Rattus norvegicus: one gene and its partners. The protein of the gene in region 5 purifies or fractionates together with the protein of the main gene of each other region. This does not show direct contact. Links are inferred from orthologs where the notes say so. Each region holds a gene or a part of one and is shown on either strand. Other genes may lie near its edges. The genes, in order: Tacc1, Lsg1, Rassf3, Akap11, Vapa, Vps13c and Vps13a.

What was found.
Region 1: the proteins of Vapa (region 5) and Tacc1 purify together in Homo sapiens (co-immunoprecipitation; 4 studies listed by BioGRID and IntAct, counting the BioPlex papers as one, with this or other methods). This does not show direct contact. The link is inferred for Rattus norvegicus from reciprocal best matches to the Homo sapiens genes VAPA and TACC1.
Region 2: the proteins of Vapa (region 5) and Lsg1 purify together in Homo sapiens (co-immunoprecipitation; 4 studies listed by BioGRID and IntAct, counting the BioPlex papers as one, with this or other methods). This does not show direct contact. The link is inferred for Rattus norvegicus from reciprocal best matches to the Homo sapiens genes VAPA and LSG1.
Region 3: the proteins of Vapa (region 5) and Rassf3 purify together in Homo sapiens (co-immunoprecipitation; 3 studies listed by BioGRID and IntAct, with this or other methods). This does not show direct contact. The link is inferred for Rattus norvegicus from reciprocal best matches to the Homo sapiens genes VAPA and RASSF3.
Region 4: the proteins of Vapa (region 5) and Akap11 purify together in Homo sapiens (co-immunoprecipitation; 3 studies listed by BioGRID and IntAct, counting the BioPlex papers as one, with this or other methods). This does not show direct contact. The link is inferred for Rattus norvegicus from reciprocal best matches to the Homo sapiens genes VAPA and AKAP11.
Region 6: the proteins of Vapa (region 5) and Vps13c purify together in Homo sapiens (co-immunoprecipitation; 3 studies listed by BioGRID and IntAct, counting the BioPlex papers as one, with this or other methods). This does not show direct contact. The link is inferred for Rattus norvegicus from reciprocal best matches to the Homo sapiens genes VAPA and VPS13C.
Region 7: the proteins of Vapa (region 5) and Vps13a purify together in Homo sapiens (co-immunoprecipitation; 3 studies listed by BioGRID and IntAct, counting the BioPlex papers as one, with this or other methods). This does not show direct contact. The link is inferred for Rattus norvegicus from reciprocal best matches to the Homo sapiens genes VAPA and VPS13A.

What each region holds. Positions count from the first base shown.
Region 1 is NC_086034.1:73,545,986-73,550,739, reverse strand, and holds the start of Tacc1 (transforming acidic coiled-coil-containing protein 1), read right to left. Parts: upstream 3,037-4,754; 5' UTR 2,794-3,036; coding exon 2,630-2,793; intron 1,715-2,629; coding exon 1,599-1,714; intron 1-1,598. UniProt on the Homo sapiens protein: Involved in transcription regulation induced by nuclear receptors, including in T3 thyroid hormone and all-trans retinoic acid pathways. Might promote the nuclear localization of the receptors.
Region 2 is NC_086029.1:83,647,588-83,652,027, reverse strand, and holds the start of Lsg1 (large subunit GTPase 1 homolog), read right to left. Parts: upstream 3,219-4,440; 5' UTR 3,204-3,218; coding exon 3,105-3,203; intron 1,702-3,104; coding exon 1,575-1,701; intron 1-1,574. UniProt on the Homo sapiens protein: Functions as a GTPase. May act by mediating the release of NMD3 from the 60S ribosomal subunit after export into the cytoplasm during the 60S ribosomal subunit maturation.
Region 3 is NC_086025.1:58,826,904-58,830,857, forward strand, and holds part of Rassf3 (ras association domain-containing protein 3), read right to left. Parts: intron 2,003-3,954; coding exon 1,895-2,002; intron 1,062-1,894; coding exon 839-1,061; intron 1-838.
Region 4 is NC_086033.1:60,344,577-60,348,530, reverse strand, and holds part of Akap11 (A-kinase anchor protein 11), read left to right. Parts: intron 1-1,458; coding exon 1,459-1,506; intron 1,507-3,140; coding exon 3,141-3,275; intron 3,276-3,954. UniProt on the Homo sapiens protein: Binds to type II regulatory subunits of protein kinase A and anchors/targets them.
Region 5 is NC_086027.1:112,634,041-112,637,994, reverse strand, and holds part of Vapa (vesicle-associated membrane protein-associated protein A), read left to right. Parts: intron 1-547; coding exon 548-700; intron 701-1,369; coding exon 1,370-1,473; intron 1,474-2,188; coding exon 2,189-2,269; intron 2,270-3,954. UniProt on the Homo sapiens protein: Endoplasmic reticulum (ER)-anchored protein that mediates the formation of contact sites between the ER and endosomes via interaction with FFAT motif-containing proteins such as STARD3 or WDR44.
Region 6 is NC_086026.1:77,530,394-77,533,858, reverse strand, and holds the end of Vps13c (intermembrane lipid transfer protein VPS13C), read right to left. Parts: intron 3,398-3,465; coding exon 3,314-3,397; intron 3,070-3,313; coding exon 2,989-3,069; 3' UTR 850-2,988; downstream 1-849. UniProt on the Homo sapiens protein: Mediates the transfer of lipids between membranes at organelle contact sites. Necessary for proper mitochondrial function and maintenance of mitochondrial transmembrane potential.
Region 7 is NC_086019.1:223,405,193-223,409,146, forward strand, and holds part of Vps13a (intermembrane lipid transfer protein VPS13A), read right to left. Parts: intron 2,721-3,954; coding exon 2,619-2,720; intron 1,013-2,618; coding exon 854-1,012; intron 732-853; coding exon 476-731; intron 1-475. UniProt on the Homo sapiens protein: Mediates the transfer of lipids between membranes at organelle contact sites. Binds phospholipids. Required for the formation or stabilization of ER-mitochondria contact sites which enable transfer of lipids between the ER and mitochondria.

The DNA of each region.
Region 1 (4,754 bases), on a different chromosome or scaffold from region 5:
CTGTTGATGACCAGTCCAAGTTAGAACAGACAAGAAGCAAGTCTTTCCTGAGCCTTCATACGGAACATGACTTTGCCCACACTTCAGATTTCCCACCCCCGAACTGTGAGTAAGAATGGACCCCTTGTTCTGAGCCACTCGGTTATGGCGTTTTGTTCAGATGCTCTCCAGCTCGCTCAGAAAATCAGATCGTCATCATGGCATCACGTGGCCCTTCCTCTCCCCTTGCTGACATCAGCTCCCATTTCTACCCGCAGCCTAGTTATCCCTCTTGGGCACACTGGCCTCTGCCTGCTCCTCCAGAACCACACCCCAGGGCCTCACCACTTACAGGATGCTTCTTTGCAAGCACTGTTCCCTTTGCTGAAAGGATTCTCCTCCCAATAATACACACACGTTTTGTCTCCTCACTTCTCCCCTTCTAGGACTCTGTTCAAGTCAGCTCCTCTAACTTCCAGCCTTTACCAGTCAGGCCCACAGGCCCATACCTCCTCCTACCCCCGCCCATCCTTCTCTACAGTACTTAATAGAACCAGACAGGTATTTTGCTTTTAACCCGTAAAGGTTCCATTCTGTAGTGGTTTTTTATGTTTGGCTCAGGGAATGGCACTATTAGGAGGTGTGGCCTTGTTGGAGGGAGTGTGTCACTGTTGGGGTGGGATCTGAGACCTTCCTACTAGTTACTTGGGGGCTGGTCTTTTCCTAGCAGCCTTCAGATGAAAACCCAGCCCTCTCAGCTCCGCCAGTGCCATGCCTGCCTGGAAGCTACCATGCCATGTCCTCTGCCTTGATGATAATGGACTGAACCTCTGAGCCTGTAAGCCAGCCCCAATTAAATGTCCTTAAAAGAGTTGCCTTTGTCATGTGTCTCTTCCCAGCAACGGAACCCTGACTAAGATAGCTTCCCTCCAAGGCCAGCCTGGGCTATCTGAAATCCTGCCTTTAGAGAAAAAAAAAAAAAAAAAGATTTCCATTAATGTAGTGGGCCAGAGGCATTGAGAACTAAAGGGCAGGTACTAGTTTGGACTGAGGGGTAGGGGTGGGGGTAGGGAAGGACAGTATGTGTGACGGATTTTCTTGGTTAGACTGAAGGGCTCCCCACTGGTCCTCTGCGGGAGAAAGGCAAGCAATTTTGAAACTGCCTAAGATTCCTAACTCAAAAATCAACTCTTACCTATAATTTTGTGTCTAGCCACACCCTTGTAGAAAAGTAGTCTCTGAAATCTTTGAGGCCAAATCTAAAACATAACCAGCCCAGTCGCTGCTACATTTTTACTTATTCAGGGTCTAGAAGGAAGTCTTAACAGGAGTGGTTGAAAATATGATTAATCTCATACTCCAAAAGCACGATCTCTAGTCAGAGAATAAAGCAAGCTTTGGATCATCAAACGATCAAAAGGTTTATTTTACAAAAACAAAAAGCAAAATGCCTTCCAAATCAGCAAGAACTTTAGGGCAACCTCTTCTGGAGCAAGGACCCAGTCCATCCTGTCTGAAGTGGTCCTCACTGCACACACATAACACCCCTTTTTTTGTGTCCTTTTTTCCCCCTTTCCTTAAGTTAAAACCGAAGAGGTAGAAAATTCAAGTTTTGTTACCTTGGGGTTTGGCCTCGGGTTCTGACAATCCTAGTGATGAATCACAAGACTCCTTGAGAGACGATCTGATTGGAGTTTCAGCTTCAGGAGTCTCAAAATTACCTTCAGAATCCGAGCTGCCAGGGGGGAAAAACGAGGCATTACCACAGTCAACGGTATTTCCAACTGCCTTTAAAATGTACTCAGCCACAAAAGTGCAAGTACAGCGCCTCTAACTTTACAACCAACCAATCCTCAACCCAGCCTGAGAACGGCTGCATCATTTTCAGCGATGCCCAGCATCCTAGTTCCCCGAAATCTCTTTCGTCCTCTGGAGCTTCTCACCACGACCACTTGTTTTTTTAAGGTCATCTCTGCCTTTTATAACCAGAAAAGAAAAGAAAAGGAAAAAAAACTTCCCAATCAACTCCTTTCCTCACCATACCCTTTTCCAGGGGCGTAAAATATCGCCCCACCCCCAAACTAAGCCAGTTCTAGCTATGCTGTTTTCCCTTGGTAGGCCTCTACCTGTCTCAAAGTCACTGGAGGCTGAAAATGCCGTCACCTGCCTTCCACAATCACACGTGTGACAGCTCAGCAGAGACCACCATTTCTCACCAGCTGCCAGGGGCCTGTCATCACGCGATCCTCTTTTACCAACGCTGCATTTTAGGACACTGCGGGGCCAAGGAGGGCGGAGGAGCGATTTCTTGCCCACAAGGGTAAAAGCTCCAAATCCCACTTGGCCTTATCAACTGACACTAACCGGTGTGGCTGCGTCGGAACCGGGGTGTCGACGCTTAGAGAAAGCGACCCAGGCAAACCAGGATGCGGAGACTGCGGATTCGGGGCTGGGTACAGAAAGCTCACAGCGAAGACAGGGGACGAAAAGCACACGGGCAGACAGAACATCCCGAACTTTCGGGTACACAGCGGGGACCCGGCTGCGGGCAGGACGCAGCAGAGCCCGGAGCACGGTTGCGCGCACACAGCATGACCGCGGTGGGAGGATGGCGCGCGGCTGCATCTCGGCTGGGATGCGGTGTACTTGCCTGAAACTCAGGGATTTGGTCTCGGCTTGCGAGTCCTCTTCCTCCTCGGGGTCGCCTTCGGGACCTCCAGCTTCGTCCTCTCCCGCGCCCGAACCGCGCACCGCGGACCACGTCCACTTGGCCCACTGCACGGGCGACAGGATCTGCCAGGGACTGAACGCCATGAGCGCGGCTACCGCCCCTGCGGTGGGGAAACGGCGGCCTCTTCCTTCAAAATGGAGGGGCCTTGACAGGCGCCGGCAACGTCGCCGGCGACCCGCGGATGTGGCTCAACGAGCGCCGTCGGGCCGGGCGCAGCGCTTCCTCCCACGGCCCCGCAGCGCCGCTCGCCCCCGCTCCTCGGGGCCGCCGCGCCGAAGCTCGCCCCCGCGCGCGCCCGCCCGCCTGCCTGTCCCCCAGTCCTGCTCTGAGACGACAGGCTCTGGGGTCCGCTCCCGCCTGGAGCAGCCTCGGCCGCTGCGGAGCCGCGCCCCTGGAGCCGCCCCCTCGGACCGAACTACTGGCGCGGCGCGCGGGGGCGGCCGCTTGGAAGCGCGCTCCCCCTGCCGCGCTGGTCGCGCCCGGCCTTGGGCAGGGGCTGCTCGACCGCGCTCGCCCTCCCGGCGGGACCCGCGCCTGCAGCGCGCAGCGCGTTGCCGACATCCATTTCCGAGCGTGTGCGCGCCGCGGCGCCGTTCCTCTTCCCCTTTTATCTGAGCTTCCTGCCGCTAGGACTTAATGGCGTGACTGACACTGCACCGCACCGGAGTTAAGACCCCTATTTAATTAAAAAAACAAACAAACAAACAAAAAAAAAAAAACACTCGGACTCTCTGAAGAGTGTTGTACCCGCTCCTTGACACTGGTCATCTCCATCCTTGTTACTCCCAGGATTTGGAAAGCTCCCGGGCAAGACAAGAATTGAAGATGCTTGCTGGTACCAAACCACACTCATGGAGGCCTCCAGAGAGGCATGACCTGGGATAGATGCAAAATTGCCCCCTGACAAGACAGCCTGAGCGATTTCCCGTTGTCCTTTCTTTTCATAACTTTAAGCTTTTTTTTTTTTTTCTGATAATTCTTGGGTCCTTGGTTTGCAGTACAGAGGTCTTCAGTACAGAACCAGCAGGTCTGGTGACAGCAGTCTTCTGAGTTAAGGCGTTTATCTTTGAAAAGAAGAATTTTTCCCTTTATCTTTGAGGAATTCCACTAAGAGACTGCCCCAGGCCCTCTCTCCCAGTGAATCCATTTTCTCCAAAGCCAAGTCTGAGACTATTAGTTCATCCGAGTGTTTCCCGTAGGACTGACATTTCTCAGAGTCTCGGAGAAATTTATGATGTGGCTACAGTTCCCACAGAGAGTGTGTGTGCCTCCAAAATTCAGGACAAGGTCAGGCTAAAATTTGCAGGACGCTGCTGATCTCCCCTGAAAGGAGTTGGCACTACGTGGACTGCAGACAAATCGCAAATGTCTTATACACTCCATAACAAAGATGAGCAAACATGTAAGATAAGGCTTGGCAGGTATCCTACCATAGTAATAATAATAATAATAATAATAATAATAATAATAGCAGGAGGATGCTTTAGAATCCACTACTGCTTCTTGCCTGAGATACACATTGACTGTCAAAGAGTGTCGAAAGACTTTTTTTTCTTTTTTTCAGAGCTGGGGACCCACAAGGCAAGCGCTCTACCACTGAGCTAAATCCCCAACCCCGACTTTTTTTACAATGTGAGCAGAAGACATTTTGTTTTAGGTCTACACCAAATATGCCAACACTACCCAGCTGTCGCCGTCTTGGGTTTATGATCAAGTAAATCTTCAGACTAGAAATCCCTTAGATTCCTGGATTTGACACGTGTATCTGTAGCTTAAAAATAGTACACATGTAAGTCGATACCTGGTCTTGATCATTCTTCCTCTTCGAGAGTGCTACCCTCTCCTCTTTTCCCTCCTCCCCCATCCTTGCATAGTTCCTGCACTCCCTAACTGGTTAGACTTAGTGTCTGTCTGCCCCTCAGGGCTGTCTGTCCCTCAGGGCTTTCTCCGTCTGGTTAATCCTGCTTCCCTAGTCACCATCAGCAGAGTTCCAAATATAAAATTTGTATGCCCAAGAACACCTAAGAGATGGTAAAAACACAAA
Region 2 (4,440 bases), on a different chromosome or scaffold from region 5:
GTAAAACCGCAGGGTGAGAGATTTAAAGGGTGTGAAAAAGAGAAACCCACAAAGTAGCTGAGATTGGCTAATGTGACCCCAGTAGTATACACAACTGAGAAGGTGGAGCCTACAGAAGCAGAGAGTGAATATCACAAGGAAGAAACAGGATAAAGGCCATCAAAGAGTGCAAAGCTTCAATGAAGCTTGAGAAGGAGTTCTAGACAGTTAATGACCAACATGGTGATGTCACCAAGGGATGCTGTCCATTTGAAATTTACCAAGAGGGTGGACTGTGAATAACCTTGCCACCATCAGAGAGCCATGTGCAGTGATGGATCAGTCAGCTTGAAAGTCACCTCCCATACACTGTGTATGTATATTAAGACATATCGTGTACCATAACTTCATAAAGCTAGGAGGTGGGTAGCATGACTATCCCCTCCCAAACCCCCAAATCAAAACAAAAGCTCCCCTCAAACAAAACCTACCAGAAAATGAAATCTGAAACTATGTCTGTCATTAATTGCCTAAAAACCTATAAAGAACCCTTTATCCCCAACCCCTTAAAAGACAAGTCCTCACTATATAGATCAGGCTAGTCTCAAACTCCCTGACATTCACTTACCTCTGCCTTCTGCACTCTGTGGTAAAAGGCATGGGTCACCATACCTAGCCTTCCCTTTCTTCCTCCTGGGAATATGGCCCTTGCCCACCCCCTCAGTGTCTGTGCTCATTAACACCTGTCCCCTGCACCAGCACAACCAAACTTGTGACAATTTTCTCAACAAAGTAGATTGCCATTTCACATCCTGTCTGGATGCCTCTGCCTGCCTGTGTCTTTTGTTTGGAGATAGGGTTTTGTTATGTAGCCCAGGCTGGGGATTTATTATTTGTAGCCCAGGCTTGCCTCAAACTTAGGGCAAGTGCTGCCCAGGTGCTGGGATCATAGGTGTGCACCAATCTGAACAGTTGTCTCCTGCTCATCACCCAATCTTGTCAGAAACTACTAGGAGCCTGCTGTTTCTTAGACTTCTTTCAAAACATATAAAAGAATATTTTTAAAAATGAATAAAATGTATCTCTTAACATTCTCTGAGTAGCCAGCACAATGAATGAGAGTAACTGATTCTAAATAAAGGCATTTGGAACAAATAAACGAATGACTTTCTAAGGAGCACAACATCTGTAATAGTAAGAGAAATACATAATAGTATCTGTCAGTGACTGAGTGCACGCACTTACAACACAAGGTTCCAGACAGCAGCAAGGATGTTTTGAACTCAATGGTGAATTACAATCTGAAGTGGTATTTGTTCTGTGTTTGAGCCGGGGTCTCACTATGTAATGTAACCTTGGCTGGTCTGGAACTCACAGAGGATCCATCCATCTGCTTCTGCTTCCAGAGTGCTGGGATTAAAGGCATGCACCACCATGCCTGACATCTGAAGTGTTCTTTAGAGGTGAATTTAAAAACCAGTGTTGACTTTACCTTACACCCATGGGACCGCCCCATACTGCTTTTTGGATTCATTTGAAGTGAGCAAGATGGCGGTGTGGCCAGTGTCACAGGCACCAGGTAATAAACAACTCACCAGCCACGAACTCCGTCCCTGCAAGTTCTGCAGTTGCAAGAAAGTCCTCGAGGGAGCTCTGTTCCGTCACTGACTGAAGATTCAGACGTCCCCAATCATAACCATCATTGAGTTCACTCGTATGCAGCTACGAATAAAACAGAGCAAAGAGTGAGGCAGCTCTCTCCTGCGCCTGGCATCCACAGGCTCTACCTTTGCTTTTACTGGTCTATGTTCTCAAGGTGGTTGACTCTTCTAAATGTATACTACCAATACCTAACGCTAGCTAAGAGGGGGGCCCAGCTCAGCAAAATACTTGCCTGTTGCTGTCAATGGTGTTGATATCCGGCAGTACAAAAACCCAAGATCAAATATTTAAATGAACACTTTCTTATCTCAGCAAGAGCATTTCCCTTTTATCCTATAATTTTATTTTCTGACTCTTTTGAAACGAATTTTATTGTGTTCTCATTTTACCATCAAGAAAACAGGTTTAAATAGGTAAAATAATTTGCCTATAGTTGTAAACCCAGAGTTTGATATACACCACCCTAAGTTATATGCTTATATGGGTCAAACATAGTTTTTTAAAAACGAAATTAAGGATTGAAAGCTTAGAATTAACAAAAATCAGGATACAAGTTAGGATTTCTTTTTTTTTTGGTTCTTTTTTTCGGAGCTGGGGACCGAACCCAGGGCCTTGCGCTTCCTAGGGGATTTCTTTAGATTAAAATTAAACCTCTCCACTATTTCCCAAAGGTTAGTACATTGATAGGTCACCACAAAACCAGGTGAGAGGATTAGTCATCAATGTCCAGACTTGAACACTGAGAAGCATGCGTGTATTCCTCACAGTATCTGTTTGGAAATGGGACGGTGTGATGGACATGTACCAGGGACAAACAACTTCAGTACAAGACCTTAGTGAGGACTCAGAATGCCCTCAAATACTCTGCTAGAATTAATTTCTCTATTTCATTTACTTCTTAAGGCTCCTACTACGATCTTTCCTAAGCTTCTAGAGACAATGTCAATTCCTTAAGATAAACTCCAAGGGGGCAAAACAAGGGAAAGCAGGGATCGGATTTATTTGTTCTTCTGATGGAACCAATCACTTCCATTGGATCGATTCTCTGGATAACTAAAAATCTCAGTTTAAAGATCCAAGCGTGGTAGCCACGGCTTGTAAATCCAGGACTCTCCAGGCACAGGCAGGAGGAAGGCAGTTCTGGGCCACTCTTCGCTGCATACGGACACTCTGTTTCAAAATTTTACGATAACACGTAATTTTCTTTATAGAAATTTCCAAGAGCGTCCATGGCATCTAGGGCAAAAGCCAAACACAGGGAAACATTCTAACATGAAAGGCTCTTCATGTTTTCACTCCTACTTTATTACACACTAGCTCTGTTTTAAAGCCTCTCTGCGCCCTGCGCCTTGTCGGTGTCTGCTTCGAATTCCTGTTCAGGCGTGACTTCTAGCTACAACTTTTGTAGCATGGAGGCTCTCAGAACGAGACGGGAAGAATATGGAGAGCACGGACGTTCTTACCCAGGAGTCAGTATGACGGTGACTGCGGCTTCGTTGAGTCTGATGCCGGATAAGTACCCGACCCAGTGACCCACCACCCGGCGCTCTTCTCCGGCCCATAACAGCGTATCAGCAGCACGAACCACTTCTCAGCGCGTGAGGCTTCCGGTTTCCCTGGCTGTGAACCAGGAAGTGACGTAAGAGCGAGTCTAAGTAGTACAGTTCCGAAGTGAAGCTGCAGGGTATTGAATGACTTGCTTCAGGATGATTTTGGTAGAGCCAGAGTTTAACAGTACTATAGAGAAGAAATGTAAAAATCGATCGGGAGGATTCCTTATGGCTACTCCTTCGACTGTTCCCCTTTTGATAGATTGACCGACTTAAGAGAATGGTACATTCCAGACTTGTACGTCACTGTTTAAAGTCCGGCGGGAAATTGGGCCAACTGGAAAATATGACCGCTCACGTTCGCAGCACTTTCGACGGGAGGAGGGCCCTCGGGTGAAGGGGTGTTTCTGTGGCTCTAGGTGGCAGAAGTTTCCTGATGCTGGTTTTTCAGCTCAGTTTTTGTTTTCCTAGCATTCTGTAGTTGCGGAGCGGGGAGAAAAGTTCACACATGGTTGAGAGTTTAGAATGGGTATCATTTTCAGAACTTGAAAGTTGAGAACAAAAGCCGGCGCTTTTAGGGGAAGGGAGGGAGGTAGAGAGGGAGGAAGAGAGCGAGGGAAGAGAGAGAGAGAGAGAGAGAGAGAGAGAGAGAGAGAGAGAGAGAGAGAGAGAGAGAGAGAGATATTAAGCATTGTATCAACATTTTTTATAATTAAAATTAAAGCTGTCTTTAGTGAGCTGTCTTCACTAATAGATATTTAGTGCCCCAACCGATCGTCAGCTTTCCTCGTAATGTGTATATAAAAAGTCTGGCATGGTGACACACATCTTTAATCCTAGCACTTGGGACACGGAATCTTCACAAAGAGAGCTCCAGGACAGTCAGGGCTACACAGTGAGACCCTGTCTAAAAAAGAAATAAGTGTATAGTAGTTGGTGCTGAATAACATTCTCATTACTGGGGAGACCACTGTAACATGCTGCTCAGCCGTGGAAGGAGTTTTTACCGGCTATAGATCAAAGATAGGCAGTGTCTGGAATTGACCGGCTATAGGTCAAAGATAGGCAGTGTCTGGAATTGACCGGCTATAGGTCAAAGATAGGCAATGTCAGGAATCGACTGGCTATAAATCTAAGATAGGCAGTGTCAGGAATCGACCAGCTATAGATCAAAGATAGGCAATGTCGGGAATGGAACATGAGTCTTGTTACTCTTCCGTATTATTGAGAGGACTCGGTCAACATGTAT
Region 3 (3,954 bases), on a different chromosome or scaffold from region 5:
CCAAGTTGCTGGCAAGCTAAAAATGTCGTCAGGTCTTCCCTGTGTCCCTTAGCACTTCAGATGCAATTGCACTGTAGTTTCCTGGCAGCTGCCCCTCCTCGCTAGGCTGCTGAGCCCGTGGCTTCTGACTTGCCTATTTTTCTGTTCCAAAGAGCCTTTCTTTAACAAATGTACACACTTGGGAAAAGCTGTGCGTCACCCTGTGTAGCTAAGGGACATTCCTATCATGTCAAAGTCAGTACATTTTCTTCGATGGCTGCTTTAAGGCTTTTCCCAGAGAAAACTTAAGTGGCTTACTGCTACTTACTGCAGGGACTATAGACACCAACTTCCATTCCAACTGCTGCCCGGGAGATCCCATCCCGCTTCCTGAAGTAACCTAATGTGCGCTCTATTCACTGGGCATTCGTGTAGGCTCAAGCAGACCTGGGGTCAACATTGCTTGGTTTTTGCATGTGAGTTGTACGTGTGCCTCTTGGCCTCTCCAGCCTTAGCACGTGTACATGAGCTTCAAATGTAAATCATCACTGAAAACTTCAACCACCTAAGTGTTCCTTGGTGCGTTAAAGGGCATTAAATTCATCGCTAACATGCTCTCACCAAACCTGTCCCTCTGTGCGGCAATACCAGCAACAAATCCTCCACGCATGCCCGCTGCACACAGATGCCTCAAAGCCCCTCAGGCCTAACGCAATCATAAATGTCTGACATCAGAGTGTGGCTCCCACACTCTGTCCCTGGCCTCTGACGAGGCACCTCTCGGCTGCCCTTCCTTCTGCTAATGAGTAAGAAAGACAGGAACAGAGGGACCGCTTTCATTTGAAGCGTGGCCACGTACCTTGGTCTTCCCTGTGACAACGCTTATAAAGCGCAAACTTGGTGGGACTCTCGGTCACCTGAAACTTCTTGAGCAGCGCGTCGATCACGTCTCCCACGGTGTTTGTGCTGCTGATATGAAGCGTGTTCATGCAGCCACTGCTGCTGGGGTTGGCAGGGGTCTGGGCAGGTTTGCAGAGTTCCATCTGCACCTTAATGAAGCCAGTGTAAATCCCGTTTGAATTCTGGAGAGTAAAGAAAGGCATACTGAGTGGGCGGTCGGCAGGCTGGGAAAGGAGCAGATCTAAGCCCCATGGGAAGGCGAACAGCTTTTACCCAGTTTTGTCTCGAAAACGATTTCACCAAAGAGAGCAGAGAGGGGCTCCCTCAGTGGGGGATTAATACAAGATCTGCAGGGTGGATGCTGTGGAGGATGCTCCAGGATGTCCTGGAGCGCTAGCCCTGAGGTTTGTGCTTCCAAAGCTTCCTGTGATGGATCAGCACCCATTGAGGAAGACACTGTCCTGCGTGGTCCGCGCCTGCCAGACCAGAGCTGCCCTGAAGCCTGGAGCGTGTCTCAGCTCTGTGCTCAACACCAACCTTCCACAGAGAGGAAGGTCACAGCGAGGGCTCTGAGACACCCAAGTCAGCATTGTGTTGACACTAGGAAAATAGACTAGCTTTATTCCCAGCGGCAAGGGGACACAGCAGATGGCACTGTTGCTACACCCTTGTGCCCAGTGGGTCAGACACTCCCACCTGGTCAAGGCGGGGTCCCTCACTGTGTTCTTGCTGCGGCTGCTGCTACTGCAGCTCTTGGGTATTCCAGGAGAATGGTCCTGAAAGCTCAATTCTCCATTTCTCTGTAGGAGTGTTGGCATTACAGATGTGCACCGCTCCATCTGGCCTTTTTTTCACGAGTCTCAGGGATCAAACCTACCAGCCCTGCCAGCTTGTACTTTTACACAGACAGACAGACAGACAGATATCCGCACATGCTCATACCCCGTCCCTAGCCAGCTCCCTGCCCCCAGCCGTCTGTCAGTGAGAGCCAGGTGAACCAGGAAGGAGTACTTACTAAGGTCATCTTCAGCTTATCTGTGACGGCTAAATTGTACTTATGCACTTTCTCTTTGATTTCCTCTTTGCTGAGGTAATTGTGTGTTTCCTTCTCCTTCTCCACATCCTAGAAGAAAAACCGTCCGTGATCATGCATGAAGAACCACACTGGGGGGAAGGTGCAGATAAACCAGGTTTCATCTGTGTTTCACAAAAGAGCAGCAGACGCATTTCTCCCCGAGACACAGGCAACTCTAGTCTATCAGCCAGCACACCAGGTTCATCTGCCAAGCACGCCTCATTCTTCACACCCGTCTTCCTAGGGGTAGCGGAATGAAGTCAATCCACCAGCAACTGGAAACAGCACTTCAATAAATATTAGTCCGCAAATCTGCCTTTGCCAGATTCCTTCTGTAAAAGTAAAGTTCTGCAGAACATCTGCTAGGCTGCGGGGCACTTCGACCTCTAAGGGGTATTCGTTTACCTTCATGTTTACTTCTGAGACAGGGCCTCATTGCGCGGCCCTGGCTGGCCTGGAACTTACTATATAAACCAGGCTGGCCTAGAACTACTAACAGAAACCTGCCTGCCTCTGCTTCCTGAGTGCTGCTGAGATTAAAGTTGTGAGCCACTATGCCTGGCACACCGAAAGCTTCTCCTAGGTACATTTTATTAATGCCATGGTCTCTACAGCTTTACAGTACGCACTAGCAGAAAGTAGGGAACGAATACTAAGTAACTGGCAATAGTAACCGACCTGTCAGACTGTGCACCACTACCAGAGGGTATATTTACCTTCTAAATAACATGTGACCAGGTTCTCTCTACCCCACCATGCTGTCTACTTGTCCCCATACCCTATTTTCTTCGGCCTTTCTTTCCCCATAACGCAAAAGGGGAAATGCTTACTGGTTAAGTTCTTTCCTGATCCTTTAGAAATCACTAATAATTTATTATCTAAAGATCCCAATCGGGGTTGGGGATTTAGCTCAGCGGTAGAGCACTTGCCTAGCAAGCGCAAGGCCCTGGGTTCTATCCCCAGCTCCGGAAAAAAAAAAAAAAAAATCCTCGAAGATCCCAATCAATGCATATTTGTCCTGCCTGATCTTATGTCAACTTGACACAGGGTAGAAGGAGGTAGGGAAGAAGGAACTTCAAATGAGAAAATGCCCCCCACTGCCCTCAACTGTGGGTCAGCCTGTGGCGCATTTTCTTGATTGGGTGATTGATGTGGGAGGATCTAGCATACTGTGGGTGGAGTCACACATGGACTGGTGGTCCTGGGCACTTTACAAAAGCAAGCCAGGTGTCTGTCTTAGTCAGGGTTTTTATTCCTGCACAATCATCATGACCAAGAAGCAAGTTGGGGAGGAAAGGATTTATTCAGCTTACACTTCCCCATTGCTGTTCATCACCAAAGGAAGTCAGGACTGGAACTCACACAGGGCAGGAAGCAGGAGCTGATGTAGAGGCCATGGAGGGATGTTACCTACTGGCTTGCTTCCCCTGGCTTGCTCAGCCTGCTTTCTTATAGAACCCAAGACCACCAGCCCAGGGATGGCACCGCCCAAAACGGACCCGCCCATCTTTGATCACTAATTGAGAAAATGCCTTACAGCTGGATCTCATGGAGGCATTTCCTCAAGGGAGGCTCCATTCTCTGTGATAACACCAGCTTGGGTCAAGTTGACACACAGGACCAGACAGTACAGCAAGCCAGTAAGTAAGCAGACCTCAATGGCCTCCACCATCAGTCCTGCCTTGAGCTCTGATGCACTGACTTCTCTGGATGATGCACTACAAACTCTAAGAAAATGTAAACCCCTTTCCTCCCCAAGTTGCTTTTGGCCATCGTCTTATCCCAGCAATGGAAACCTAACTAGGACAGATGAATCCATGTACCCACAATCCCAACTGTAGCATCTGGAGAGCCAAGGATGCCAGGCACCACACTGGATCACGTAACCACGCACAAAGCTGGCGAAATTACCCAGTGTCCATGCAGAACTGAGTCCTAGCAAGCGAGTTAACTTGCCAGAAGAAACTTAGCTGCTGAGTGGAGCCTGATTCCCAAAGCCG
Region 4 (3,954 bases), on a different chromosome or scaffold from region 5:
ATGAAGTACCTGTTTTAATTAGTAGCTGACATTGATCAACTGTTCTTATTAGCTGTTGGTAAGTGCATAGGCACTACTGGCCTTTCACTGGGCAGGTAGGGCTTATCCAGTGGCCGCTGCTTTAATACAGTTTCTTTTCTCTTGAAAGGAAAAAATACACTTATTTCATGTAGACACTTTTTAAATCTTTTTCTTGACTGTCTCGGTGCTTTGATTTAAAGTATAAAGTGGTAAGTTTATCTTCAGAATTAAGATACTCGCACTTGGAAATGTGTGTGTGTGGGGGGGTGAGTTTTACATACCTTGCTTACCTATTTCTCTGCAATAGCAATTGTTTTTAATCTTTGTTTGAATTTGTTGTTGCTAAAAAGTGATTTTTTAAAAAGCATCTGTATTCCATCATCACATTCATATTACAAATTGGAATATAATATTGAGGGCTGAGAGTATAGCTTAAGAGTAGATCACTTGCCTAGCATGTGCAAAGCCTCAAGTTTAGTATTGGGTCTTCACAGGTTTCTGTTCCTTGAGGAATTCTTTATGGGAAAAGCTTCCTTCTCTAGAAAGAGGAGCATGCCTGTTAAATGAGTCGCATCCTGCCACCTGGATCTCCTCACTGGATTTCTGCGCACCTCCCTTTACTTTTCTCTCTGTAGGGCAGAGCACTCTTACTCTGCCTCCTGCCTGCCCTCAGTTTTGTAGCCTGTATCCTTGGTTGTTGTCAAGCTGCTCTTCCAGCCTGTTCCACGAGATCTTCCATATCACCAGAAGGAGCAGGCTCCCTTGGTACCTTCAGGGCCCGCGGTTATCGTAGTCTCCCTTTTGTGTTCAGCAAGGAAACTTGAAAGGATAGGAGAGATTTCTGTTCCATTTTAGGGTATGCATATCTCAAATATCTAAGGTTTTTTCCTTCCCAGTGTACTGGTTCATTTTAAGTATGTGAGCGTATGAAGTGTTGCTGTCTAGTGAGGAGGGAACCTGGGGAATCTACACAGGGAAGGTCTCTAAGAAGGCTGCTGGAACTCATAGGAACTTGTAGAATGAAGAGGGGCCAGGCCTAGAATGGTCCGAGGAAAACATTCATATCAAGGGGACACCACTGCAAGGACCTTAAGGAGTCACGTACAGGGCATGTGCTAGATGTAGAAAGGAGTCTCATGGGTTTGAATGAAATGAGGGCAGGCTGAAGGCTTCCATTAACAACTCTGGGAAGCATGGACAAGAGGCATGGCAGTGGACAAGTCCAGTGATGGTGAAAGTAAGAACACATGGCAGTGACGATGAGGATCAGGAGGGAGAGGGAAAGGTGAATGGTGAAGCTACAATCTTGGTCATTGGAAACACTGCCTGCCCCGTGTTTAGTACCATAGTACCATGCTTATACTGTGCCTTGTCAACATCCTGACCCAGGACTTAAAAACAGTAAACTAATGGAGGGGTTTTTTTTTTTTAATTCAGATCACATTTCTGGGCTTTAATGAAGAAACAGATGCTGCTCATATGAAGGTAGGGTCAATTTATTGAATTGGCAAAGACAGTGGGAGACTACTTAAATTTTGGAGACTGAAAATTTTACTGTAGAGCTCAAATTTTACAGTCAGCCAGGCATAATGGTGCATGCCTTTAGTTCCAGCACTCAGGAGGCAAAGGCAGGCTGAACTTTTGTTCAGGACCAGTGGCTGGTCTGTACAGTGTGTTCCAGGCCAACCAGGGCTACATAGTCTCTTTCCCTATCCCGAACCCCCAGAAACAAAGATAACATTTGAGTGTGATCTTTACATCTTCAATTTCAGCATTTTTACTAAGGATTCCTTTTTTGTTATTTATGAGACAAGGTCTTGTCAGATATCTTTGCTGTGGCCTTAAACTTGTAGAAAGCCTGCTGCCTCCACCTCCCAAGTGCAGGGATAACAACCGTGTGCTACCGTGACTAGCTTTCGTTGATAACTCTTGCTAAGGAAAGAAGATTTAAATTTCACTATTGAAATCATTTTTCTGAATCTTTAAACCACAGGCCATTTTCTCGATTCTGTTTATTATATTGCATGTAACATTTGTATATTTTGACAGTTTTCATAATTTGATTTAGTAGTAAAGTTCTGTATTTTTAGTGAAGTAGAATTAAGTATAAAAGGTCAGATTTGTAAAAGGTGTCAATGTTTGCACATTTATAAGTTTGTGCACATTTCATGTAGGCGTTTATAGGGGACTGGTAGTTGAGGTTAGCAGCCGTGAAGGGATGGCTGACATTACACAAATCACTGCAGAGTTCCCCTGTGCTGCTGCTAGACAGCTGGCAGGTTGTGTTAGTCCTCCCTGGTGAGGTCATCTGCAGCTTCTGTCTCGATTTTCATAGCAGAAGGAAGAACTGGTTTAACAGCAACAGGGAGGGCACACTCTCCAGAACAGCATGTAGATATATAACTGGACTCTCAAGGCTGATGCAGGAGTGTCACTGTGAGAGTCCGGCTTCGGCTGCATAGTTCTGAGCCAGCACCATCTACAGAGTGACACTGTTTCAGAAACAAAACAAACAGCACACCTCTGGTGGCCCTCAGGAGCTGTAGACAGGACCACCTGTATGAAGCCTCTACTCTCTGTGGGGCAAAGACTGGAGAGAACCTTGAGCTGGAAAAAATAATTAAAAAAAAAAAAAAGAGGAAAGTTAAGAGAAAAGAAAGGTAGCTCTCCTTTAACCTGCATAAACTCTTTGAAGGCTTTCTACAATACCTTCGGGAAAGTGGACTTACAGTTTAAAGAGATAAAACTTTATCCCTGAAGGGTTTTAGTGGCTAAGACTTCTATATGAAAAACTCCAGAATCAGACCAAAGGATGTTAGGGTGACAACTGCTAAAATCATTTAAACGCTGATCTCCTTAGCTGTGGGAGGTGGCCTGTTAAGGTTGATGGGGTAGCTCAGTAGCCACATGCTGGAAAGGCTCTAAAGCATCACTGAGTAACCTTGGCCTTGTGTGAGTTAGAAAATGACTGCAGGCACACTGTTAAAGTGTGCAGCCCTTACAAAGCAGGCAGCTTATTGACCAGTACACTTCATGGGCTTTGGCTATGGACAGTTTGTGGAAACCTTGACTGTTACTCTGTGGTGTTGATCGTTACTGTTACTGTCATTTAAAATTAGGATCTAGCTGCAGTTTCACTAGAACTTCCAGATCTTCTGAATTCGCTCCATTTCTGCAGTCTAAGTGAAAATGAAATCATTTGTATGAAGGATACCAATAAATCTTCTGATGTAAGCAGTAGTCCTCTAAATCAGGTAACTAGAGGATCATTTCTAATCTGCTTTTTGGGGGCAGATTTTTACTATATTTGCTTAGTAATAGTAAGTGATTGAAGCTTTCCTTGTTTTAGTCTCAAGGAAATGGTATTGATGAAAGTCTAACTCACAAAGCATTGCCAGCCTTGAAGTATAAAATTATTTTGATCATTGCGTATAAACTAAATTCCTGCCAGCAAAGTTCCGTCAGTGGTGTGCAAGCACATAACTAATTTTTAGTGAAATATTCCTGTTCGGATTTCTTTGTACAACTGGAGGGACTGCTCCTGCTTTATGCCCGTCTTACACACATTTATATGTGGTGCAAACTGAACGGACTTCTTGTTAACTTTCTAATGAACAATCTTCCATGCAAAATGTTGCTTTCATAAGACAGCCTTTATTTAGTTCATCACTAAATATTTTTGATAATGTACCAAAGAAAAAGGCTTTTCATTTTAGGAAGTAAGATATCTACAATTGTATGAGTAGGTTTACAATTGGGAGAACTCACTCCAGCTATGAAATACTGTCCTTTGTGAGGTCTAGTGGTTCGAGCTGTGCCTGGTCTTCTGCATCATGTGGTTCAGTTTAAACACTTGCTTTGTTTGCTGGACGTAAAGGGCGATGAGCTGTTACATTTGCTTTCTTCTTTGGAAAAACAAATCACTTATCAATG
Region 5 (3,954 bases):
CTGGGTTGGCTTTTTGAATTCTATTTTTGTCGTTTTATTGAGTACAAAAGTAAGGCTTTAAGACAAGACTTTGCATTTAGATAGAGCATAGAACATCGTACTTAAAACACACGTGAGTGAATGGATTGAATGAATTGAGGCAGTGAGTACTGTCAGGGTTTGGTTTTGTATGGCCTTGTGAGCTCAAAGATCAGCACTGGTGACGACCACTGGGGACTGTCAGTCATGTGATGTGGTAGGAACATGAGGACAGTTTTGGCTGACAGGATGGCTCATTGGATGGAGATGCTTGTTGCCAAGCCTGAGGGATGGAGTTTGGTTTCTGGACCCCACATAATGAAAGGAGAACACTGGTTCTAAAAAGTTTCTTCTGATCTCCGTGTAGATAACCATGACACGTGTTCATACGTGCAACACACAAGCAACAATAAATAAATGTAACCAAAATTAAAAACCTAAAATCATAGTTACTTTGTGGATGAAATCACCAAAATAATGCTTTTGTGAATCCAGTTAATTTTCTTTTCCTCTGCCCCTTACCTTACAGGCCCCTTCACAGATGTAGTCACTACAAATCTTAAATTGCAGAATCCATCGGACAGAAAAGTGTGTTTCAAAGTGAAGACCACAGCGCCCCGCCGGTACTGCGTGCGGCCCAACAGTGGGGTTATTGACCCAGGGTCAATCGTGACTGTCTCAGGTAGCAGTTATGTCCTACACTAATGCAGTTTTGAATATTGACATTTTTATCTGTTTATTGTTTGGCTTCAGTTTTTGTCTAAAGGTTTTCCTTGGGTATCTGCCATATAAAATTTTACTGAAACTTTCCTACTCTGAGCTTGTGTGTGGGTGTGATTAGTTACTGTCAGTCTGAAGCATCATCTAGTCTCTGTTTCCATAACTGTCTTTCCACCGTAGTCTGTATTCTTACTCATCTTTGAAATGGCACTGTTTTGTGATTGAATCATGTTCTGTACATCCACAGAAGTGTTTTGAGGCCTTTGCTTAAAAAAATGTATGCCTGGGGCTGGGGATTTAGCTCAGTGGTAGAGCGCTTACCTAGGAGGCGTAAGGCCCTGGGTTCGGTCTAATTGTCAAGGAGTTAATGACTTTCTTTGTTTTCTTAAAATTAGATTTAAACAAATGAACACATTCTAAGTAATTGTTTAAAATCCAGTTTAAAAATGGGTTATATTAAAAGTGTTTCAGTTATCCAAATTAGAATCAGCAGAAAATGAATTTACTAATAATTGAAAGTTATAACGTGGCTTGTGCATCTTGAGACTACTACGTTTGAGTTTGACCCCATCTTGCTATTACGCTTGTGTGTTGCTGTGGTGGTGATCATGTGCCCTCTCTCTTTGTTTAGTAATGCTGCAGCCCTTTGACTATGATCCGAACGAAAAGAGTAAACATAAGTTCATGGTACAGACAATTTTTGCTCCACCAAACATTTCAGATATGGAAGCTGTGGTAAGTGTAGAAGTTGTATTTTTGGAGCTGTGGTTTAAATTTGTTTTGTTTAACTCTCAACAATCCTGACTTCCTTGCCAAAAATTAATTATCAGAACAAAATTAAAATTTAAACAATTAAAAAGCCTTTTAGTTTTTTGACACCCCCCCGCCCCCCCAAAAAAAAAAAAGGAAGACATGATTCTGCCTGTTCTGGAACTTTGTAGACCAAGGCTGACTTTGAACTTAAGAGAGATCCTCTTGCCTCTGCGTCTTCCATCACAGAGCTGGAAGGCATGCATGGCCCACCAAGCCTGAAATACTGTTCCTTGGGAACCATTTAGAAACACTAAGGTGAAGAAGACTCGTGTGTGTTGCCTTCCATTGCATTCTGTGGGTCAGAGGTCAGCTGGGTCAGGCTGGCCTCCCAGTCTGTCTACCACACAGTGTGGCTCCTAGGATGGACTCAGGCCACCAGGGTGGCAGCAGTACCCTTGCCTTCCTGGGCCCAGTGTCAGTGTGGCTTTAATTGATGGTGATGGCAGAGACACTGGTACATGATTGTAGGCGACCTGCAGTCAACTCCAGCCAGCAGCAGCCGAGCTTTCGCTTCCTGACGGGGCCGTTGTCTAAGCCACCGTTCCCAGGCTTCAGTTGTCCCCTCTGGTGAGACCTGAGTGCCACATGCTCTCTTTTCTCATCTTTGGATTTTTGTTTTGTTTCTTTTTCCTTTTAGTGGAAAGAGGCAAAACCTGACGAACTAATGGATTCTAAACTGAGATGTGTATTTGAGATGCCGAATGAAAACGATAAGCTGGTGAGTAAGAAAGAAACCTTGGTCGGTCATCAGCCTCTGACACTGGGCTTGTAGTGCCTGGTCATTTTATGAGACGTAAAAAGCTTGATAATGCTATTTCCAATTTATGATATTTTGTTTGCCCAAGAAGAAGTAAATATTACACGGTAGGTCCAAATTTCAGTGTGGAAAGAATTTCTGAGAATGCTCTCAAATTCTGAAATCATGTCTTTATCCTTTTTCTTAAAGAATAAGACATGCATATGCAGATACAGCTATAAAATCAGGGCTTCTTTTTGGGTAATCATCAATATTCTTGGACTAAAATATATAATTTACAGGGATAAGTCATCTTCCCCCCAGTTTAGCCTTTGCCAAACACTTTGCATATTTTTGTCTTCTGATCAAAATCAATTTTATTTTTTAGTGAATAATTGCTTATTGATTAGCATTAAGCAACTACATATTTGGGGGGGCTGAAGGATAGATATGTTTTTGTAGCAGACCAGTGGCCTATGCTCTATATAATATAAATTAAAAAATTTTTAAAAGTATTTTATTTTATGTGTATGGTTGCTTTGCCTTTATGTATATCTGTGCTTGTGTGGTGCCCTCAGAGACCAGAGAGGGCATAGGTTTCAATGCTTTTGAATTGCCATGGGTGGGTGCTGGCAATGGAACCCCAGGCCTTGTGGAAGAAGAGTAGCCATCTCTCCAAACCCAAGGATTTTTCATTTTTTCTGTGGTTTGTAGGAGGGACTATAGAACAAAGTTTTTGTGTGGATTGAAATGTATAAAATACTGTGGGTAAATGTAATTGGTATAATTTGGTTATAGTCTGGTATGACTCTTGCTTTGATCTGGTAACTTGTTTGCTCTATTCAGAGTAAACTATATTTCTTGATAAGAAAGCTGAAATAAAAATGCTCATAAACGTTAGTTAGGTATTGACCAGTAAATGACTTAAGTTTTCAACACATCTTTTTTTTTTTTTTTTTTTTTTTTTTCCGGAGCTGGGGACCGAACCCAGGGCCTTGCGCTTGCTAGGCAAGTGCTCTACCACTGAGCTAAATCCCCAACCCCTTCAACACATCTTTTTAAAGTGAATCAGAACCATAATTGCCAGAGTAAGAAGTACAGTGTTTAGACTTTATATGTTAGTTTCCCTGTTTATCTGTGCTGGCTCCAAAGATAATAGCTTCCATTGCTTTTTGTATTTAACAACCAAAGATAAATTTATCTTGATTGACATTACTGTAAAAGTGATTTGGGGATATTAATAATAATAGTAGTAGTTATTATTACTATTACTACTACTTTTGTTTTTTAAGACAGAGTTTCTCTGTATAACCCTGGTGACTTGGAACTCACTCTGTAGATCAGGCTGGCCTCAAATTGAGATCTGCATTGCCTCTGTCTCCTAACTGGGATTACCACCAGTCAGGCTTAGTCCCTACATTCTTCTTCTTAGATTGGTTTATTAGACCTTCCTTTCTTTCTTTCTTTCTTTTTTTTTTTTTTTTTTTTTTTTTGTTCTTTTTTTCGGAGCTGGGGACTGAACCCAGGGCCTTGTGCTTCCTAGGCAAGCGCTCTACCACTGAGCTAAATCCCCAACCCCTTATTAGACCTTTCAAGTTGGCTCTTAGCACTTAAACCAAGTAATCATTAGTGACCTCTCATTTTTAACATTTTTATTATATATATTA
Region 6 (3,465 bases), on a different chromosome or scaffold from region 5:
ATCACCCTCTAACCACACACGGGTCTTCACATGCCCCAGCCAAACAGCTAAATGCCATTTGTTTTTTTTAAAAGATCTTTCTCTCCAAGATGAAGACAGTTCTTGTAGCTCAGGCAGTAACTGCAATGCCTGACTGGTACTGATATCTGGCAAACTTTGAGTCTGTCAGCTCATTACCTTTTAGTTCTGGCTGTGCCTCAGAAGCATACATGGAGCTTTGTTAGCAACAAAACAATAAAACGAAACACCAGATGTCCAGAGATCAGTGAACTTAAAGTCCCACAGTATCACGAAGATATTAGTAGTCTCTCAAACATAATTTAAACTAGAACACCACCATCCTGGGAGTCTCAGGTAAGAAGTCTATCCCAGATCAGGTTCTTAGAAAGCCTAAGGGTGTTCTTCCCGTGTGTTGCTCACTTTGGATTTTGATATATCTGCCTTGCTACAGGCCGCATGTGAGTCTCCTCTTCCCACCTGAGGACGCGGTGCCTGACGGGCCTTCAGACTGGTACTATGGGTGCCCAGTGGGAGACTAAGGGGGTTTCAAGAGAAGCATTGGGAGAAGCACTCCAGATCTCCAAAACCTTAGCATCCTTGTTGCTCTCCCCAGTGACAAGCAGGAGCTCAGTGCAATGCTGCAGCTGGGCCACACAGCTCCAGTAGGGAGGTGGGGGTGGGGGTCTCAGAGCCCAGGAATAGGCTTTCCCTCACCAGCTCCTTGTAAAACCCCCTGCAGTGTTTCACCTATCTTCTGACTATCCTGAGAGCAGAAGGAGAAAGAGGAAAATTGAAATAAAAGAGAATGTGACTTCAGTATTTAACGCAAACACAGATCCCACACATATAAACAATGTAACAATGTTTTATTTTTCTCAGGTTATAAGCAAGTCACTGTCTCTGAATGCATTTGTAAAAAAGACCACACACCTAATTACATCCAACCAATGGGTAACTCCTATACCAGAACACTGAATCAAATAAAAACGCCACAGAAGATTGTCAACTTAGATAACAAGTTTATAGACTTGACTGCTCTTAGTCTAATGTTCTGTACACTTGTTTCTGGAATAAACCATCAGTGCAATATAATGCCTTAAATATTTACGATCCCATTGACAGCTGTGATTAACATGAAAAATGTAGTCAGATATTCAAATTCCTGATTGACTCAGTTTTAAAGACATAGCTACTGTGTTTGCTAGAAGGCTTTTCACTGCCTTCTAGCTCTAAAGTTCAATTAGGTTTAAAGCTATCAGTTTTATATGTAATTATTTTCTTAACAGGAATAAAGGTATTAAGCTAGGCACAGTGGTGCATGTCTTTGATCCCAACACTTGGGAGGCAGAGGTAGGCAGATCTTTGTGAGTTCAAGGCCAGCCTGCTCTACATTGTGAAACCCTATTAAAAGGAAGGAAGGAAAGAAGGAAGGAAGGAAGGAAGGAAGGAAGGAAGGAAGGAAGGAAGGAGGAAGGAAGGAAGGAAGGAAAGAAGGAAGGAAACTGGAGTTGGGGGGGCATGGTGAGGAAAAGAAAGGAAAGGAAAGGAAAGGAAAGGAAAGGAAAGGAAAGGAAAGGAAAGGAAAGGAAAGGAAAGGAATTAAAAATGTAACAGCTACTAAAAATCAGATTTCTCGTTTTTCTTTTTTTTTTTTTTTTCCGGAGCTGGGGACGGAATTCAGGGCCTTGCGCTTGCTAGGCAAGCGCTGCTCTACCACTGAGCTAAATCCCCAACCCCCAGACAGATTTCTCACTCTCCCTCAGAGAAACGTGAAGCAGCAGTGGGGAGCTAAGAAGTCTTCCTGCAGTCCTAAAAGCGTGACTGGCATTGAGTGTGGAAGGAGGACCTGAATCGACTAAGGCAGAGCAAGACAAGGACATCCACACGTTCCTCATCTCATAGCTGACTGTGCGCTTTAACTAAATGTTCAACTCCCTGAACAAAGCTAAAGGCCCCCCAAGGAAATAAAATCCCTTAGAGTAACAGGCAGCCCCTGGCCCCCTGCCTAACCTGCCAACAGGCAGCCCTGACCTAACAGGCCTCAGAGCTGCTGGATGGACGCAGAGAACACCTGATCTCAACTCTGTACAGACCTTTAAAAATCCTATAATAAAGTAGAGAGTTTTCACTCTTCCTAACAGGTATTTAAAAGACATTTACAGGTATGCATTAGAATTAAATGTTAATTTATGACACCCTTTGCAGTCTTTTATACTCTAAAATAAATCTCTGGAAATATTAAAAAAAAAAGTTGCATTTTATATATTCCTGAATGCCGAGGAGCTTACAGTGCAATTTCTCAGTTTTCATTCCTCAGAAATCTCTAATTGTGCTCATGAGTTCATCCTGAAAGCACCCACTCTGACAGACACACACTGGGTGCCTCACTGTAGACAGCCGGCGCCAGACTGCCCCTGTTCTGAGATTAGATGGAAAGGAGAAAGAAAAAGCACCATGTAAAACTCATCCTATTAGGATAAAAATAACATTTGCATAAAAAGAACATAGAAAATGAGCCGTCTCTCCTGTAGGTGCATTTCTTCAGTCAATCGCCGGGTTTACCGAAAGTGCTCTCTTAGTTCAATTATTGTACAAATTACCTTTAAGCAAATGTCAGAGTGTCCACTATTTATCTGGCTAAAACCTTTCAGAGGACACTACTCGTTTTAAAAATCTCCTTTCTTCAGAAAAGACTAATTAAAAACAAGCCCACCGCTCTTTGCTTTACAATTTTAATATTAATGAACAAGTCTCTCTGAGGCAAAGTGGTATTTCTTTGAGGTCTGACCTACACATGTAGCAGTAAATTCCTAATACATGCAGGATTGCAAAACCAAGACTCAAAATTGAGTCAAAAAAAAAAAAAAAAAAAAAAGCCAGCCCAGACTGGCTGGAAAGGTTCTCTTTAGCAGGACTTCTGAAGCGGTTGTCTCCCTCAGAAGCCTTGTAAGATCCGTGGTCAAGATGGAAGCTGGGGCCTGAGGAGCTTCACTGCTTCACTGACGACTGCCTCATCAGCCTCTGCTGCTGCCTGGCTGACTGCGCGCTCTCGATGGCTTCAAAGGCTCTCTGGAAGGCAAAGCAGGGTTATCAACTGAAAGGTGACCTCTGGCTCACCCGAGGGAAGGCAGAGATGCCAGTCTCCATGCAGGAGGACAAGGACCAGGCTACCACCCACACATGAGGTATGCGCCAACTACCCTGAAGCATTAGAGAATGAGTGAGGGTAATGCCAGACTAGCTGTTACCGGCTTGTAAAGGTCTTCTGGTTAAAAACCTTGGGGCATGAGGGAGAGGCGTTAAAACAGTTTACCTTGGCTGTGATGGGATCCTTCAGGTAAATTTTCCGAAGATAACCTACATTGGCACTGTCTTTTTTATGGAAAAGACCCTGCTCCTGTTTTTAAAAGAAATAATGACAAAAAAAAAAAAAGGAATTATTCTTTAGAAGAAAAAAAATACCAT
Region 7 (3,954 bases), on a different chromosome or scaffold from region 5:
TAATGACCAAAGAAATCAACATACTGGAGAGGACTATAATGTCCCTTTGGTGGTTTGAATGAAATTGTTTTCTCATGGTTCTGGCATTTGAATAAATGGTTCCTACCAGGCAGTGCTGTTTAAGAAATACTAGGAGGTGTGGCCTTCTGGAGGAAGTGATCCACTGTCATTCTGTTCTTTGCAGTTCACCATGTGAATGCTCCCTTGTTATTGCAATCTCCATGCCTGCTGCCTCTACTCTGCCCTCAGAGACTCTCACATTCTGGAACCATAAGGTCAAACAGTCCTCCTGCTGTCACTTGCATCAGGCATACTGTTTTATCTCACTAACAGAAAGGTAATTAATATAGTTTCCAATGTATTAGAAAACATATTGTTATAAAAAAAAACTACTAAGGTACTACAAATAAGTAAAATTGCTTTACAAAAGTGAAAATAACTTTACAAAGCCCCAAGAAGGAAAGATCTCACTTACTAAGGAGAATGAAGAAGAGCTTGCTGCTTAGGCTGGTCATTGCATTGAAATGATCATTGTCCTTAGTTCGGACATAATCCATACTTAAACTTTCTTCGTTTTTCAGTTCATATGATTTTGCCAAAGGAACATTAAGTACGTGAAAAGAATCACTTGGTGAAACAGAGACAGTAAGTCCAAGAGAATTTAAAATCATAAATGGTGCTAGATCTCTGAGGAAGACAGCTGAAGATCCAGTAGCAGCTTCAGTGAATGCCTAACAGGGAAATTGGGGAATAAATGACACAGGGGACAAGTTCATGAGAATAGTAACTAGATAAATAACAACTTCACTCATTGTTTCAATACCTAAAGTTTCAAATACTTGTATTTTCTTACCTCAACTAAATTACTTAACATCACAAGGCCACATTTGGACAGTGTAATGTTTAATTGGTCTCTGGAAAAAAAACTTATGGCAGTCTTATATTCTGGTACTTTGTAGTTCTCTTCTTCACTATCAGACTCAACAATGGCCTCTTTTGCTTTCTTTTTCATCTAAAGGATAAAGTAAAATTAGAAATAAAAGAATTGTCTTTGGAGTATAACATAACTTATCTGTAAAATAACAACAAATATCATTAGAGAGAGAGTTATGGACCCATGGGTTACACTGCCTGATGAAATTTCCTGGACTTACCAAGTAGTGTCACAAAGCTGACAGGAGGAAATACTAAAGGAAAATAAATTCTATACAATAAATTTGATAATTTAGAAGAAAGAAAAACTTTGAAAGTAACTAAGAATATATGGAATCTTCAGGTAAATCAAGAGCATACACTTCACAACAGTCACGGAGACAGTTTAGGGTATTGGTAACGGAAACAGAACTAGGGACTGACACAGTCACACACAAGTAGCAAAGCAACGTGGTATTGGGGAATTTGTAAGATTATGCACTATCTACTTCTTTCAAAAAATGTGGCCCATATACAGTCTAATTTAAAAACTACCAATGAAATTAGTTTAACAAAATCATCTGACATAACCTAAAGAATTAAATGAAATCATTTAAATATGATATGGTAGGCATGCTAAGATATTCAGTTGTTATTATACCTTACTTTTTGTTTTCTCTTGGTTATTCAAGACAGAGCTTCTCTGTGTAGTCCTACCTATCCTAGAACTCGTCTGTAGACAATGCTGGCCTTGAGCTCAGGGATATTTTACATTACTTTAAGGTCCTAAAGATGTGTCTACAAGTAGAGTCCATCAATAGGTAGGAAGCATTGTTATAATTAGATAATTTCTTGCTTTACAAGCACAACTTCACCTATTTAAAGGCACAGATTCTTAGGATTAAATAAATTCACAATTTATTAAAACACATGACATACTATGTTCAATGGGGTATAGAGAGGAAGAAATAGTAGAGGGGGAGAAAATTAGGGAAAGGTAGGGATGAAGGAGGGAGGTACAAAGTAGGAAGGAAAGAAAAAAGGAGAGGGAAGGAGGAGAGAGGGAGGGAGGGAGGGAGGGAGGAAGGAAGGGAGGGAGGGAGGGAGGGAGGGAGGGAGGGAGGGAGGGAGGGAGGGAGGGAAGAAGGAAGGAAGGAAGGAAGGAAGGAATGAATTAGTCCACTCACAGAACAAAGAAAATTTGGGATTGACCATAGCTATAGTGTAGGGCAATAGTCAACATTCTTTCACTTTAAGGAAACCTGTTTCATCTCTGGTCTTATATGGGGCTTAAGAGATGGCTCAGTGGTTAAATACTTGCTTTCTTGCAGAGGACCCAAGTGTGACTCACAGCTCACAATGGTCTGACTCCAGTTCCAGAGGTTCTGATCCCTTCTGGCCTTTGTGGACACTAGGAAGGCGTATGTTGTACAAACATATATTCATACGAATCAACCACCCACAAACAAATAACAAATGAATCAGTAAATAAGCAAATAAATAAAATAAACTGTGTAATGTAGTATGGATATCCTCAAAAGCTCTGGAAAGCTTTTCCTTTTAAGCTCTTTCTCAGACTACAAATATAATTTGATTGAGCCTGTTAATAAGGCTAAATATATGAAGAGGATATATTCAGGAACTATACTTGACAATTCTGTAGCAAACCTGAAACTCCTTTAAGAAAATAACATACATATACATACCTTGATGCCAAGATTCCAAGGTCTAAAATCATCACTCTGATCAATTTCTAAGGGTTCCAGTAAAGGTTCCCAAACACCGAACATTTCATTAAAATAGTGAACCTAAAATGAGAATTTTTAGTTTTTGAAATAAAACATTCTATTATGTAAAATAATTTTAAAGTGCTATCTCTCGCCACCATGCCTTGTGAGTGTGCTAGTTCTTCTGTATCATCTACGTGTCAGTAGCTGTGTATACATACTCCTTCCATCCTTTCTTCATTTGGCTTACCTTTGGAGACCAAATTTCACCTTCACATTTAAGTACAACAGAACCTCCTTTTAACATTCATTTATTTACACATATGTACACATATTTCAGTCAGAAGAGAACTTATAGGAGTCAGTTCTTTCTTTTTCCACCACATGGGTCCTGGGAATTGAACCCTGGTTGCCAGAGTCTTTCTATAAACCCTATAACCCTTTCAAAAGCACACCGTTCATTGCTGCCTCTCCTGTACCAAGCAGCAAGTCCTGCATTCATCTATTACCTATGACTGACACCTGAAAACTTGCCAATCTACTACCAATGACTATGATTTAAGATGCAGTGTGTCTGTGGTACTGTAATGAACTTTCCTGCCCTCCGCTTGATTTCAGTGTTTGAGAGCCCTGAACCTCTTAGATAGCACAGATGAAGTCCTCTACAAAATGCCTATAATCCTAACCACAATTTAAAAACATGCAGTGTTGTCATAATCAGTTACGATTCTGTTAGGACATAATTCTATTTCATTTAAAAATAGAAGCTTTTAAATTTTCACCCTCACTTTTATAATATAGACTATTAGATTATTTTCTAATAAATATGAAGTGAAATAATTTTAATTAAGTATTACTGGAGATAACCATGTAATTTTTCTGTTTCTGCAGCACTGGTATTAAGATTAGTGCTACACATACATATATCCCATGACTGACCTGTATTTCCAGCCTCTTTCATAATTAATTTTATCTGAAATATCCATGAAAATAATTTTATAAATTCTAAGGTAAAAAATATTTACTGTGGTTCCTTTTTTCTCTCGAAAAAAAAATTTTGTGGGGTTTAGAATTAGAGTCCAAGGCCTCGCATATGCTAAGCAACCACTGTATACCTCAAGAATATCCCTAGTAGTGACTCTTTAATAATTAAGAGAGATTACCAGGCATTCATACATTTAATCTACCTTTTCAAAGAAAAAATTCATTTTAGTTCTTAAAAATGAGAATTTTCAACTATCTATTGGTATCTCACTAAAAGATGATTTTCATTTTATTTATATGTACATATGAGTGTTTGTGTCAATATAGCCTA